2 linked regions of the Astyanax mexicanus genome follow. Each later gene encodes a partner of the first gene's protein in a complex. Links are inferred from orthologs where the notes say so. Each region holds a gene or a part of one and is shown on either strand. Other genes may lie near its edges.

Evidence for each region.
Region 2: the proteins of ralgapa2 (region 1) and nkiras1 are in contact, whole or in part, in a crystal structure (PDB 9QU1), measured with the Homo sapiens proteins. The link is inferred for Astyanax mexicanus from reciprocal best matches to the Homo sapiens genes RALGAPA2 and NKIRAS1. Residues at the interface, in NP_065076.2 of Homo sapiens: Pro20, Lys21, Tyr51, Ser52, Gln53, Phe56, Tyr59, Glu60, Ile63, Arg99, Phe102, Arg103, Trp104, His105, Tyr106, Gln107, Ser108, Lys185, Ile186, Tyr187, Pro188, Glu189; in NP_001364280.1 of Homo sapiens: Lys6, Glu22, Leu24, Leu25, Tyr26, Glu34, Met39, Glu40, Asp41, Val42, Tyr43, Met44, Ala45, Ser46, Val47, Glu48, Lys54, Gln56, His58, Tyr60, His74, Tyr75, Ser77, Phe78, Lys108, Thr162.

Annotation. Positions count from the first base shown.
Region 1 is NC_064421.1:20,845,093-20,852,885, reverse strand, and holds the start of ralgapa2 (ral GTPase-activating protein subunit alpha-2), read left to right. Parts: upstream 1-4,681; 5' UTR 4,682-4,829; coding exon 4,830-4,935; intron 4,936-7,793.
Region 2 is NC_064410.1:354,304-362,086, forward strand, and holds the start of nkiras1 (NF-kappa-B inhibitor-interacting Ras-like protein 1), read right to left. Parts: upstream 3,334-7,783; 5' UTR 3,171-3,333; intron 2,629-3,170; 5' UTR 2,606-2,628; coding exon 2,512-2,605; intron 1,538-2,511; coding exon 1,296-1,537; intron 490-1,295; coding exon 247-489; 3' UTR 1-246. Other genes in the region: rpl15 (60S ribosomal protein L15), read left to right, coding at 5,547-5,718, 6,508-6,644, 7,089-7,394. UniProt on the Homo sapiens protein: Atypical Ras-like protein that acts as a potent regulator of NF-kappa-B activity by preventing the degradation of NF-kappa-B inhibitor beta (NFKBIB) by most signals, explaining why NFKBIB is more resistant to degradation.

The DNA.
Region 1 (7,793 bases):
GCATTTGCTGGTTAACTGACTGACCATATTGCTCCTAATCCTCACTAAAATTACAGATGTATTCACTCTGAAAAGAGACCACAGCACAGTGCAAGTATTAAAAGGACTTTTTAGCATGCTCAGTGAAATAACACATTCTCACCTAAAACTTACAGACTTTTACTTTAACAGAAGGTTGTGAAAGTTTTTTTGATATCTCACCATGTACAGCGCATGACATCATCAAAAGATTCAAAGAAACCCTTTTTTATTAATATCACTCGCCACTTTTTTAGCCTTTTGTTGCCCTGTCCCAAGTTTTTAAAGCTATGTTGCTGACAACAACTTCTAAATGTGTTAAAAAAAATTGTTATGGAAATGTGTTCTATGTTTTATTGTTAATAAAATAGGGCTCTATGCTATTTTAAATCATTGCATTTTTTTTTTTTTTACATTTTCCACAGCATCACAACTTTTGTGTATTAGAGGTCATAAGTGGAAACATTTATATACCAATTATACAAATATTTTGTGCTAATAGATTGTGCAATGTGTACAAATCCTGCCCTTAAAAACTACTCTAGGAAATAAAGAAGCAATTCATTTCTGTCAATATATGGCTTATTTCATAGCTTATTTCATATGCTCGTGGATTAGAAGATAAGCTCAAGTGAATTCAGTAAACATTAATTCACATGAAGTCAAGGAAATCCAGAATGGCATTTCAGTCTTATCACATTGAATTCAATCACCCGGCTAAGTCTTAAGCAGCCGTCTTCTTTCAGACATTTTATCCGCCGCTCTTCTTCACAGTGTTAATCATCTGCAAAATCAATTAAAATCTGAAGCAAGCTGAACTTGTGTTAATGCAGCGAGACCTTCAGTTCACTCACGCTGCAGGAGGCCTGTTTGCCATCAAATTATATTTCTTTATTAGGCAGTAAAAGCTTCCAGCCGGCAGCTCCAGTGAAAGACAGGAGGCAGCGCTTGCCAAGGAGAGAGAAAGCTCTGGGCTGACCCTGCGCCCTTCAACTGTGCCCATCCAGAGCCAACACAGAGGGGTGCAGACCCAGAGTCAGGGTAAATATGTCTCTGCATATGTCCAGGACAGATTTTGTGTGTGTGTGTGTGTGTGCTTAATGAAATCATTTCTGCAGTCTGTGGTATGGTATTAGACAGGGGAATCTAGGCATTTTAGAGTCATATTGTCCTGTATGAGATGACTGCAGCAAATAAAGCATGAGGTCATTGTTATACTGGCCACCAGATGGCGCCCTGGACTACTATACTAGACCTTTCACATTTTTTAATTAGAACACATGAAATTAAATGATACCTAGATTGGAAGACTATTTTAAGTCTATGTTTAAATAAAAGATTTTAACCCCTTAACAGGCCAGGATTCTTTTTAATTGTCTACCTGACAACCACTAAATGTTGAGGATTCTATTCAAGAATTACATAAAAAGTTCTCGTGTTTGAAAAGGAAAATTACAGGAAAGCATAATTGTAATAGAAAAATATAATAACATCTTTAAGTAAATCTGCTAATGTCAAAATATAATAAATACATAAAATTAATTCTATTGATTCATAAAATTGGCTCTTTCCTGGACTTCATTTTAAGATCAATATTTTCCTGAATACAAATCAAACGGTTTATGTCCTCCAAACCTTTAGTTTTGTTATCTTTGTCTAGTCTTTTTTCAAACCTGCAGAATTTGGGTTGATTTCTGTTACTGATCTGGAATTATTAAGTGGAGTAGAGAGAATACAGGGAGCTTCTCCAAGTTGTGCAATGTTTCAGAATGTAAATAAGTTATTCTACTGCAGAAGAAAGGGTTTTGTATCACCTAGACCTGTAGCCTGTATACGGGACAAGACATTTTATGGGGTTAACCAAAACTGATATCTAGGCCAAAATAGGAAAAAACTCACCCCACTCCCTATACCCTACAATTAAAGAGACCATATGGAAATAGATAAGCTGGTTATAATTAAAGGTAATACACATTTCAAATTTCAAACCACTGTAATGCTAGTATTTGTCATCTGAGCTTCATCATAGCCAAATAAATGAGCACTTTTGAATCAGGTCAACTATAGAGGCTGTTATTGTCATTCCATTAGGGGTGAGACAATATACCGATATATAATTTTGACTAAAGTTATTGCTTCATTACTTCACATAGTGGCACTATTCAAATGAACAGGGTAAACCTATCGGTTGTCAAATTCTGTGAAACTGACAACAGTAAATATATAATTCCTGGTATTTACTTATTTAGGAGTATATTATCCTCATCGGTAACATAGGTGCCATGAAGTATTGTAGAGAATTGTCACAGTATTGTGAAACCATCTTGATAATATTGTATTATGAGATGACCTGTGATTCCCTCCACTACATTCCATCATCCATCCTTTACAAAACAGACAAATATTATTAGATTTTGTTTCTACTGAATTAAACTAATACTTATTTTGTTGCATTTTAATATGTTCCTGAAATTAACAGAATATTTTATTCATATCATCAAAAATATTGTTAAAATTGTTACAAAATACCCTTGAATATTGTGATATTATTTAAGGCCCATTTTCCCTCCTAGCGCTGGAAAATATATTGATATTTTATCATATTGTAATACAGTTGTTTTTTCCGTATCGAAAATATGCCTACCGAGGATATCATTCCTGCTTTAAGAACACTGAGATGAACTGTACATTTTATTACAGAGTGTGTAAAAAAATCCTGATAAATGAATCGTGTGTAGCAAAAATGTTATGTAAATAATTGTACTGCATACATGAAAGTGTTTGGAGTATTTGAATAGGATTTTTTTTTTTATCTGCCGCACGACAAATACTGTGTAACATAAGATTATATTAGATTAAATACTGTGATATAATATTTTAACATATTGCCCAGCTCTATCAGTGCATGATTATGTACACCAACGCCGGTTTATACTGATTATATCTGTGTTATAATTATTCTGTATTGACTAAGATTAAGGCATAGCTAACGAGCTTATCGTGATAAACATTTTGGACATATCATCCAGCACTATGCCTCATCCTTGTGTTGTGTAGTGTTTGGCTAAGAAAACGGTAAAACTCAACCCAAACTAATGACTCACTCACAGGTGACCTGTATGTAATATTTGTAATTGTCATTTTAGCTCAATTTTTTTTGTCAAATTTATCAGATATGGAATCAATTAATATGGCCAGCTCGACAGTAATTGCAGTGTGTTTTTTTGTAGAAAGAATTAAAAACACCACTATAACTTGTTTTTTGCTTCTTCTAAATGTCTGAAACTGATATTCATTCAGACTAAACACAAGTTTCAGGTTTATTTTGTTTCAGTTGTATGCTCCTGAAATAAATAAAATATTTTAGTGTTTTTTTTTTTTCATACCGTCAATACTATTGTTAAAAAATATATTTCAATACCCTTCAATATTGTGATAATATTTTTAGATATATCATATATTGCCCAGCACTGGTGTTGTGTAGTCTTTGGCTAAGCTAATGGTAGACACCTGCACACAACTTTATTCACAGGTGACAGTTTTTATTTATTTATTTATATTTTTTAAATATTTTTTTGTTTTGCTTTGTTTTGTTCATAATGTCAATAATATCATTAAAATTGTTAAAAAAAAATCCGCTTCAATATCGTGATAATTTTTTAGCCACATATAATGCCCTGCCCTGGTGTTTTGTAGTCTTTGGCTAAGCTACCAGTAAACACCTGCACCCAAACTAATACCTCACTCACACATTTTTTTTATAAATCGAATACTGCTAGATTAACAGTTATAGCAGCTTGTTTTTTTTTTCTTTTGAATGTCTGAAACTGATATTCATTTGGACTAAACACAACTTTCAGGCTTATTTTGTTTAAACAGAATGCTCCTGAAATTAATAAAATATTTTAGTGGGTTTTGTTTTGTTTTTGTTTTGTTTATACCATTCATAATATCATTAAAATTGTTAAAAAAAAAAAACCTTCAATACACTTCAATATCGTGATAGTATTTTAGGCACATATTGTCCTGCCCTGGTGTTGTGTAGTCTTTGGCTAAGATACCGGTAAACACCTGCACCCATACTAATACCTCACTCACAGGTGACAGTTTTTATTTTAATCTTTTGCTCTATATATTTTTTTTATCGATCTTACCGGATGTGGAATGAAGTAACACTGCCAGATTAACAGTATTAGCAGCGTGTTTTTTATTTCTTCTGAATGTCTGAAACTGATATTCATTTACACTAAACACTACTTTCAGTTTTTTTTTTAATAGTATGCTTCTGAAATGAATACAATGTTTAACTTTTTTGTTTTGTTTATACCGTCAATAATATCATTACAATCGTTAAATATATACCCTTCAATATCGTGATAGCCCTGCCCTGGTGTTGTGTAGTCTTTGGATAAGCTACCGGTAAACACCTGCACCCACACTAATACCTCACTCACAGGTGACCGTTTTTTTTTTTTTTTTGCTCTATAATTATTTTATCGATCTTACCAGACGTGGAATGAAGTGACACTGTCAGATAAAGAGTAATAGCAGTGTGTTTTCGTGTGGAAGGAGTTAAAACACGGCTCTGCGTGCTCCGGGGGGCGTATGGAGGGGCGTATCTGTCCAGAGGCAGAGCTGAGTGTGCTTCCGTGTTTACTCCCCCGCGGGCAGAGAGGGGCAGGCGGGCGGCCGCTGGAACACAGTCAGGCGCTTAGCGACCGGGAGAGCAGCGGCTCGAGGACACCGACTGGATGGTAGAGAGGAGGTAGAGAGGAGGTAGAGCGGGCTTCAACATTGACTTTTACAGCGGAATGTTCACCCGAAGGGGCTATGGAGACGTCAAGAAATCTACACAGAAAGTTCTGGACCCAAAGAAGGATGTTTTAACCCGCTTGAAGCATCTCCGCTCACTGTTAGGTGAGTCTCGCAGCTCAGCTCTGATGCTGTGTGACACTGTGACAGCACCACTCACCGTGTAGCAGCCTGGCTAACCTAGCTTAGCTTTCACCTAGAGCTAGCTAGGTGTTATGTATGTATTAGCTGTGTGTGTTTGTGGCTAGCTAGCGTTAGCTAAATGCAGTGCAGGTCGTCGTGCCTTTGTTTCCCTGAATGAACATGTCTATTTTTCTTAAAATAAACAGAGAAACCTGAATTGTGTCTGTATTAAGCGATGAAAGGGGCTGCCATTGCATTATGTTTGTTTAGCTTAGTTAGCGTTAGCTAACATAGCTGGCAGACTGGTAATGCTAGCTAACGTTAGAGTCAGGTGTCATTTGGGCTTAATTGTTCAGCTGTGGCTAACGCTAACTATAGCTTGTGTTCTTTCTGCCTTAGCCGGTTAGCTAGCTAGCTTGCTAGCTGTAGCTATAGGTTAGCTGGGGTAGCTAGCCTCCGAGAGTCTTTAGGCAGCAAAATAAGCCGACTAATTAACTAGCTTAATTTTCTACCTGCCTATTGTGTCTAGTTCTTAAAATAGCCACCACTATTTTACACTCGGCTGTTAACGCTAGCTAACGTTGGCTAGCTTCACTCTAGCTACTGGCTCTATTCTTTGCTTGACAGCAGCTGCAGTAGCATTGTGTGACTATCCTCATATCACCCTTAGAAAATATGGTTATGGATTTTGCACGTTTCTTGCCTGGTCGTTTAAACAGTAGTAGCACGCAGTACTGCACATCACTTACACAGCTTTCCTGTCACCCAAAACATCTCCAAAATGTCATGTTTTTTTATTATTTCTAAAACAAATATTTCAATTATTAGCATGGCACAACAGCAGTCTTATTGGATAGTATGTGAGTATATACAGCTCTGGAAAGAAAATAACAGACCACAAAGATTTATGTGTTCCTTTTTTCCTCTGGAATATAATCAAGACGAAGATGGATAATCACAAGCCATCCAACTGCTTAAATGTTTGCACCAGGTGTGGCATAAAATTATCTAAAAGCAGTGTGTAAGACTGGTGGAGGAGAACATGCCAAGATGCACGAAAACTGTGATTAAAAACCAGGGTTATTCCGCCAAATATTGATTTCTGAACTCCTAAAGGTATACGAATAAAAACTTGTTTTCTCTGCATTAAATAAATGCTCTAAAACAATATTTTTATTTGGAATTTGGGAGAAATGTCTGTAGTTTATAGAATAAAACAACAATGTTTATTTTACTCAAACATATATCTATAAATAGAAAATTCAGAGAAACAGATTCAGAAACTGAAGTGATCTCTTATTTTTTATTTAAGAGCTGTATACGTATGTGTGTGTGTATATATGATAGTAGCTGCAGCATTGACAGAAACTGCAGAATTGTGTGGCTATTCTTATGTCACCCTAAAAAATATAAATTATGTAGCTAGTTATATTAGTTTTGTACGTTTCTTGCCTGGTTTAAGGTGTTTTTACACACTCAAACAGTAGCACACGGTACTGCACATCACTTATAACTATAGTTATATAGTTATATTGTTCTTTTTAACCAAAACATTGCAAACATTTTCAAGTTTTTACAGGAGAACAAGGAAACATTATCTTTCAATGGAAGTCAGTGTTAAAATAATTGATTCCATTTTAAAATACAACATTACTGGCCCTCGGTTGTATGTATAAAGCGAAAACATTCTAGACCAAGTTGATCTAGAAATAGATCCTCTTTCGTTTTGGGCATTCAAAGGGAAACACTGAAAAATAAAAAGGATAAAAGATTGTATAGAATTCTCACTTATGAGGCAAAAAATAATATCTTATTGTGACTTGTATGCTATATTCATCAACAGATTTATTATTAATCGAATTTGGTCACACTATCTTCAGTTTGTCAATAGTTGGGATTGCAAACAGATAAATCTACTATGAGATTTGTTAACAGATTTTGTTTGTGTAACATCGCTAATGTTTTGTGGTTTATATCACTTTTGAATGTGAGCTTGTTTGTTACTAGTTTGTTTGGTGATGCCATAAAAAGTCCAAGCCATTTTAAAGCGTATCTGTTGGTCCATTTATATGATTTAAATTGGACACAGTGTTAAAAAAAACAACTGTCACAATCAAATTAGTTATGTCACAAAGTGAGTAAAAAGGTTGTTGCTTGTTGAAAGTGATAATATAAAGTATGTAGCCTGTAGAAGGTGTTTATAAGGTGTCAGAAGTTCACAGTAGTGTGTGTGTGTGCTCTTGGATAGCCCAGAATTATATTTGGTTAGCTACAGTGCTCAAGTTACTCACAGCTACAGAGACTTCCTGTGCCAGTGTCCTGATGAGACATCTGACCAGCAGCAGACCAATATAGGGCTGTTGTTGACAAGCAAATCAGATTTGCCTCTTATTTATCACTTACACATGTTTGAGTCCCAGCTAACTGTAGCTGGTTTTGGCTAGTGTCAGCCTGGGCAGTTTACATGGAAAGCAGATCAGAAATGTTTGTTTTTATGTTAGTTATGTGATCTTTAGGCTTGGGCCTATGTGTGTTACTTTTTTAAGCATCGTTCTAAAACTAGTGTGACCTGCATTAGACTGCACAGCAGTGCTTTCACCAGCATAGGTTTCCCAGATTATCTATGATGAATGTTGCAAAGCTTGACTACTGACCTACCTGTCATTTTGAGCAGAAGTTGTGGCATAACCTTAACCTTAAATGACGTCTGTTTTCCAGAAGGCTTTGAAAGACTGCAAAGCTCAGCATGCATATCTCAGTGTCTTGAACCTTGCTGTCAAACATAATTGAGGTTTGATACTTTCACATCCAGAGTATTAACTGTTTGTGAATACAGAGAA
Region 2 (7,783 bases), on another chromosome or scaffold:
CAACCTCCTGCTTATATTTACAGTTTTCTATTAGAACAGTGATGTTTCTGTGATCAGCCAATCGAAAACAGTCCTGCTTTATTCGAACCCAAGTCATCTAAGCAATGTATTAATTACTAACGTATAAATAAGTGTATAAGATCATAATTTTCACTATTAAACTCAATTCTTTAAAACTCGAACTCCACTAATGGTGAGACAGTGCTGGTCTGTGGGAATGCTGATTTTGCGGGGAGCTGGATCTGGTTAAATGTCGTTGGCGGGGGTTCCCTTGCTCTTGCGGCCGGGCAGGGGGAAGGCGGATTTGCTCTGGGGCTGGGTGAGGCGGCTGGTGAGCGTGGTGAACGGCTCGATGAGGGAGCTGCGCTCCGTAACGCTCACCTCCCACAGCTTCACCTTCTCCCCACGAGCCCACTGCTGAGCCACCTCCTGCTCCACCTGCCGACGCTCCCGCAGATCAGCCTTATTACCCAGAACGATCACCATCACCTACAGGAGACAGATATATACATATATATATATACACAGAGGGTACAGTGTATAAATACAGATCAGAGCACTTAAAAATGATGAGTTTCTTTAATTTTACCAAATATAAAACCTCTGGAATATAATCAAGAGGAAGATGGATGATCACAAGCCATCAAACCACCAAACTGAACTGCTTGAATTTTTACACCAGGAGTAAAGCAGCATAAAGTTATCCAAAAGCAGTGTGTAAGACTGGTGGAGGAGAACATGATGACAAGATGCATGAAATTAAAACTGTGATTAAAAACCACCAGGGTTATTCCACCAAATATTGATTATTTCTGAACTCTTAAAACTTTATGAATATGAACTTGTTTTCTTTGTATTATTTGAGGTCTGAAAGCTCTGCATCTTTTTTTGTTATTTCAGTCATTTCTCATTTTCTGTAAATAAATGCTCTAAATGAGAATATTTTTATTTGTAATTTGGGAGAAATGTTGTCTGTAGTTTATAGAATAAAACAACAATGTTCATTTTACTCAAACATAAACCTATAAATAGCAAAATCAGAGAAACTGATTCAGAAACTGACGTGCTCTCTTCATTTTTTACAGAGCTGTATATATTGAGAGCATAATCATTCGTGTAAAAAACATAAAAAAACCTTTTAAAGCATCCCCAAATAATAACCAGTCAATATATTTGACTTTCCTAAGAAAACCTGAATCAGAAAACATATACTGTGCAGAAATATACTGTGTTGTTATGGATTTTGCCCTATATAAAATAGTTACGAATGTCTTCACTGTCGTCCGTCTCTTTACCTCTTTCTTGTCTCTGGATTTGTCGATTTCTTTCTTCAGCAGGTCGACTTTCTTGAAGGACTCCAGGCTGTCGACGCTGTAGACCAGCACAAATCCATCCGCCACAGAGAAATAGTGTTTAGGAAGATCTTGTCCGTCTCTAAGCCCTCTGGTGTCATATAACCGTAACTGCTCTCTCACTCCACGATCCGTCTCCACAGACGCAACATAAATATCCTCCTGAGTTTCATTCAGTTCTGCTCCTGAACCACAGAAAAACACTTTATACAGAGTCATGTGATAAATGCAGTTTATTCAATACAATCGATCAGAACTGAGTCAAATACTCTGTATTTCTGCACGCTGGAGAAAGTAAATTCACACAATAGACACAAAATCAGGAGAGATATGTTATAGTGTTCAGCAACTGTGAACAACAAAGACTGAAGGATTTTTATTCTTATTAACTAGTACAAATTGTAATTCCAGCTATTCCAGAACTGTTCCTTATTTCTGGATCAAATTCACAGTGTACACAGTGTTTCTGTCCACTCAAAATATTATGATTAACATCTACAGATCTGTAAAATCATTCTTAGTTACAGATATCTTACTTCTCGGTAAGATATCGATAATTCTAACTAGAAAAAGTCAGAAAAAACAAATGTATGACCTAATTTCTAGAAGGCATAAGATAACATTACATTACATTACATAACATTACATTACATTACATGTGGCAGACGCTTTTGTCCAATAATGATGTACAGAGTAGTAGACATTTAAGGTAAAAACATTTTTAGACAGGGCCTAAAGGAGGTCAGAGGGAAATAAGGAGGAAATAAAGGGAAGAGGGAAATAAGTGTAGAGTAGTTAGTATGTTAGAGGTGTTAGGAGAGTAAGTGCTCTTTGAAGAGCTCTGTCTTTAAAAGTTGATTAACATTAACATTAGATGACCTTTTAAAAGTAGTTTCAAGCACAATCGCTGCATTTCCACATTTTACTGTTTGAAATAACAGAAACAAACCTGATGTTTGGGCTCCCTGCATCTACCTTACATATTTAAGTTACACTTCAGTCATTTTCCTACAGTTTATAAAGACGTACTTGGTGGGGAAGTTTGTCAGGACAGCCCAACAGGCATGAAAAAGCAACCAGCTCAATAATAGGCTGCAATTTATACTAATTTATACTAGACGTAGTTTTAGTAGAAAGATGTGGAAAATGAAGGACTAACCCACACTGTGGTTTCCGTACAGTAACTGTTCAAGAATCGCTGTTTTACCAACAGAGGCAAAACCACAAACCACAACCTTACAGCCTTTTCCCATAATCAGCTGCTCCTCAAAAACACCTGCAATTAATGAATAGAGAACAGAATAGAATTAAAGAAAAGAAAACTATCGAATCATACAGCTGCAGCAGATACTCAGATTTTACTCAATTTAATTCTATTAATTTCAATTCAATTCAACTTAATGTATCTTTATTATCAGGACTGTGTGAGGGTATATTGCTGTCAAAGCATAATAACAATTAACAACAACAATCATAACAAACACACATAACACATACACATAAACAATATTTACACTGCTTAAAAAAGAATCATTATGATTATTATAATATATAATAAAAAATATTGTATTATGTATTATATAATAAATTTGATAAATTATCATCAACAATTATAATTATTTTACCATTAATCACTTTCATTAAACACATTAACCTTACAGTAATGATATCACAACAAAACACTATTTAAAATGAGAACACTATAATTTTATGCAGCTAAAGCTAAACTGGTGTAACACAGAGAGCTCGAGCTAACCTAAACTACAGCTAAAAGCGGGGTTTAATAAAAACTGATCTAATAAATAAAATCAGCCTCACCTTCTCTCAGAGATCAGCGGTTACCTGATTAATCCTTTAGTTATAGTTATAGATATATTTATAGTTATATAGTTATATTTATTAATAAGCGGGAGGGTCACTGTGCTGATCCTGTTTTATAAACCCTCATAAACAGGGCTTTTACCTGCGGTCAGTTCACTTCCGGGTGCAGCCGCGTTACTATGGAAACCAGTTTCCAGTTTCCAGCTTCCGCCTCGCTTCTGTTCCTCTTCTTACCTGCAGAGAGAAACACATACAAACACACAAACACACATACTAATATATACACTAATATATAGACCTTAATATATAGCTCTAATATATACACCTCTGAATAGACACAAATATAGACCCAAGTATATATCCACATTATACCAAAATTAAGACATAAATATAGAATATGGAATATCAAGTTGAAACCAAACCCTGTGTACACGTCTATATAATATATGTATACAGTAACTCTATACAGTTATACTGCATTCTAAACTGGCAGCTCTGTCAGAAGCTCAGAGTGATATTTCATTTCAGAATTATGACTCATTTTAAATTAAAACTCATTTAAAAATACATTTTCTTAAAACATGGAAAATAAATGCATATGAGCGTGTAGTTCTTCATTTTACACACAACATCATTGTAGATGTATTGCAGAATTGTCAAATGCATGTATTATTGTATTTTACATATACTTATAATATTTTAGTCCTTCATTTTCAAACATTTACATTTACAACAAGTACAAATAAACAATATTTTTATTTACCATATATATCAATTTTGTTTGAGATAAAAATGTTTGAAATCTTGTCAAACTAAAACGTCAAACCTTTAACATAAATTATAAAAGTCCTTGTGTTTCTACTTTACTAAATGTAAAGGACTTTTGTAGGATTATTATTATTATTATTATTATTATTATTATTATTATTATTATTATTTTATAGCATATCTTAATTTATTATCCTTATTTTATAAAGTTGCCCTGTTTGAACTACATTTCCCACAATTGTAGCGCACTTCGCCGCCGGAAACACTGCTGTGACGTTTTGATAAAGAGATCCGGGTCCTTGGCTCTTCCTTTCCGCTTAGTACGCCATCAAGTAAGGGAGATTTTCTGTTTTGGTGGAGATGAAATCTGTTTAAAATCACCCTCAGAATCCGGCCATCCGGGGGTTATAATTTGTGTAGTGAGAGCGGAGAGTGTAGGGATGCGCTGCGGGTCGTTATTTAGTTGATTTAGGGGAGATTTGTGTGTTTTTGAGGCGGATTTTAGCGGGTAGCGGCGGCGCTGTGTTCAGTGTGTGAGAGTGTAGGGCAGGCTGGAGCCGGTCTGTGTGTGTATTTATACATATAGCTGTATATAGAGGGTTAACGTGGGAAATGGAGGCTTTATAAGTTAAAACAGGCCTCTGTATCAGTTTAAAGATTTGTGTATTTTTATTTATTAGGAGTTTTATTACTGTGTTAACCTTTTTAGTTAGCGCTAACGTTAGCTAGCCTGGCTGAGCTGCATGTTGGACGGTTCGCATGGTGTCTGTGTGTCTCTGCCTGCAGGTTTCTAATGCAGCTTTATTTATTTACACGAATAATTTACTATCATTTTTCTTAAGAATAAGCTGACAGATATGAGCTACACTAACCTCTCTTACATCTAGTTAACGTTCAGCGATGTAAATCAGTATGTGTTCCCCCTAGGCATTGACAAAGCTTAATAATCATAAATATATACTATATTTTAATGATCTAAGAGCTGTCTATTCTAACACGAGTCTTATTAATTCTCTAGTACAAATAAGAAGCTTCCTAGTTAGTAAACTAACTTGGCAGAAAGCTGTCACCCCTAAATAATGCTTAATACTTAATGATGTAATGAATTAATGTTACTGTGTACTGTGGTTCCACTACAAAAACTCAACTAATAGAAACCGCATATTAAAGTGTTGAGTGTTTAGTGTGTTCTTGTTTCTCTAAAATGAGTTACTTTCAATCATTCTTAAAATCCTGTAAATTGATTTGTTATGGAATTAAACATGTTTACATTGACTCTCATTTGAAAAACAGGATTGGGATGTTCATTTAATTAATTTGATTAAACAAATGTATTGTTCTAATGCGATTTGCGAAAAGGGACAATCAAGTAAATCTCTGTAGATGGGCTTGTGCTTCTGTGAGAAACCTGTAAAGGACTTGTGGTATTAATTACAACAAATACTTTGTTTAATGTAAAACCTGCATTTAGGGTTGAAGGGGGCTGCTTAATATTTGTTAATGAAATGTAAAGGAAAAATAATTAACTTGTGCATCACTCTTTAAATGGTACCATTGCTCTAACCTGTTCATGAACTGTTGTGTGTGTGCTACAGGTGAGGCAACATGGGCGCGTACAAGTATATGCAGGAGCTGTGGAGGAAGAAGCAGTCGGACGTGATGCGTTTTTTGCTCCGCGTTCGCTGCTGGCAGTACCGCCAGCTCTCCTCCCTCCACCGCGCTCCCCGACCCACCAGAGCCGACAAAGCCCGCAGACTGGGGTACAAGGCCAAGCAGGGTGAGTCCCGGACGCTCGTGCTGAATTACATTTAAATTAAACTCACGTTTTGCTGTGATTTCCCTTACTGAACTCATCTCTTTTTTTTTTTTTTTTACTGATTTGCAATTTTGGCACCTTAACTTTTTAATCTGGCACAGATTTACATTAGCTTATGGTTTTACACAAATCTACTTCTTAATGACTTGCTGTCTGTTCTCTCTGAATTAAAGCTGAGTGATTCATCTGCAGTTTAGTTTGTGCTGCATCCAGCTTCATGAGGACAGTGTGTGGACAGTGCTAGTTTTCTGGTTATCATGATTGAAAGCATGTAGCTTCCCAATGTATTAAAGACTGTATTAAATCTGTATTGTACAACACTCACTACAAAATCTGTAAACTGTAAACCCTCCTGTTCTGTTCTGGGTGAGTTTGACCTGTAATAAAGTTTGTAGATCTAGGAAAAATAGCATTTTTTCAAGGTGAAATTACTTCTGGTTACTACTGAAAATGTTCATCTCGCATATTTGCAACCTTTTTAAGCTATTTTTTATATTAAACAAAATTGTCAAACACAATATAGCAACGTCACAGGTCACACTATGATTGTAAGCTAGAACTCGTCTGCAGCGTCCTGTGTGTAAATTAGAAGCTAGTTCAGGCTGTGTGAAGCGATGTTCTCGGCTGCAGTGTGAACTTTCTTTATTTAATCTCTGTTTAGTGTTGGTGAGTGTTCTCCAGCTTGTCTTCTCTGTATAATCTGTGCTGTTTGGATCTGGATCTCTGATATCTTGAATTTGTTTTCTGCAGGTTACGTTATCTACCGTGTGCGCGTGCGCCGTGGTGGCCGTAAGCGCCCCGTGCCCAAAGGTGCCACCTACGGAAAGCCCGTACACCACGGAGTCAACCAGATCAAATTCGCTCGCAGCCTCCAGTCCATTGCTGAGGTATGTAAATGATCTCTAGCGGAAGTTTATATTAAAGATTTTTTAATATAAACTTCTGTACAGCAGGTGAAAGTCAGGAAAGAGTGAGCATTTTAGATTTATATTTCTTAATAAGAACTAAAAACCAGCTGTATGCTTAGGAACAAATATATATGCTTTAAAATATTGCTGCTTTTTTTTTATTTTTAATAAAGCACCACAAACAAAATGTGATTACTCATGTCCATTGTTAAATAAATGCACTGTGAATATCACTTTTTGTATTTTTTGGTAGTTTAGAATAAAATGTATAAAAGTATTGTTTAAGTATTTGTATTGAATTTAAAGTATTGTATCAGTATTGAGGACATTAAAATGATACCGGCTCCTGGTTGAGGCTGGTGTTGGTAATTCTGGATCGTTTCTGAAGCTCCTCTCTCTCTCTCTCTCTCTGCCGTGTTTCAGGAGCGTGCCGGCCGTCACTGCGGGGGTCTCCGTGTGCTGAGCTCTTACTGGGTGGGAGAAGACTCCACGTACAAGTTCTTCGAGGTGATCCTTATCGACACTTTCCACAAGGCCATCAGACGCAACCCCGACACCCAGTGGATCACGAAGGCCGTGCACAAGCACAGGGAAATGCGCGGCCTCACGTCCGCCGGCAAGAAGAGCCGCGGCCTGGGCAAGGGCCACAAGTTCCACCTTACCATCGGCGGCTCTCGCCGCGCCGCCTGGAGGAGACGCAACACCCTGCAGCTGCACCGCTACCGCTAAAGAGTGTGATCTGCTGCTGTACATTCATCACAATAAAGAACCTTTTTATGGTCCACGTGCTGCCTGCTGTGACTTATTGATGTGTATTAACGGGTTCTTTTAGGGGTATTTACATTTAGTTAAATTTATGGTTCTGAAACTAAACCTTAGGCTGCGTTCACATTACCGGGCTGGAGTGACTCAAATCGGATCAGATTTCAGATCTGATTTTTTTTTCATAGCTGTGTGACTGTGCCAAATCCGTTTTTCCTGAATCAGATTTGAGTCACTTTCATTTTTTCGTATGTGGTCTTAATTTGGATTCGTATCCGATCCATGTGACATGAATGTGAACGGTCAAATCATTGGGAATTCAAGCGTCTTTTTGATTTTAGTCATTAGCATGATCA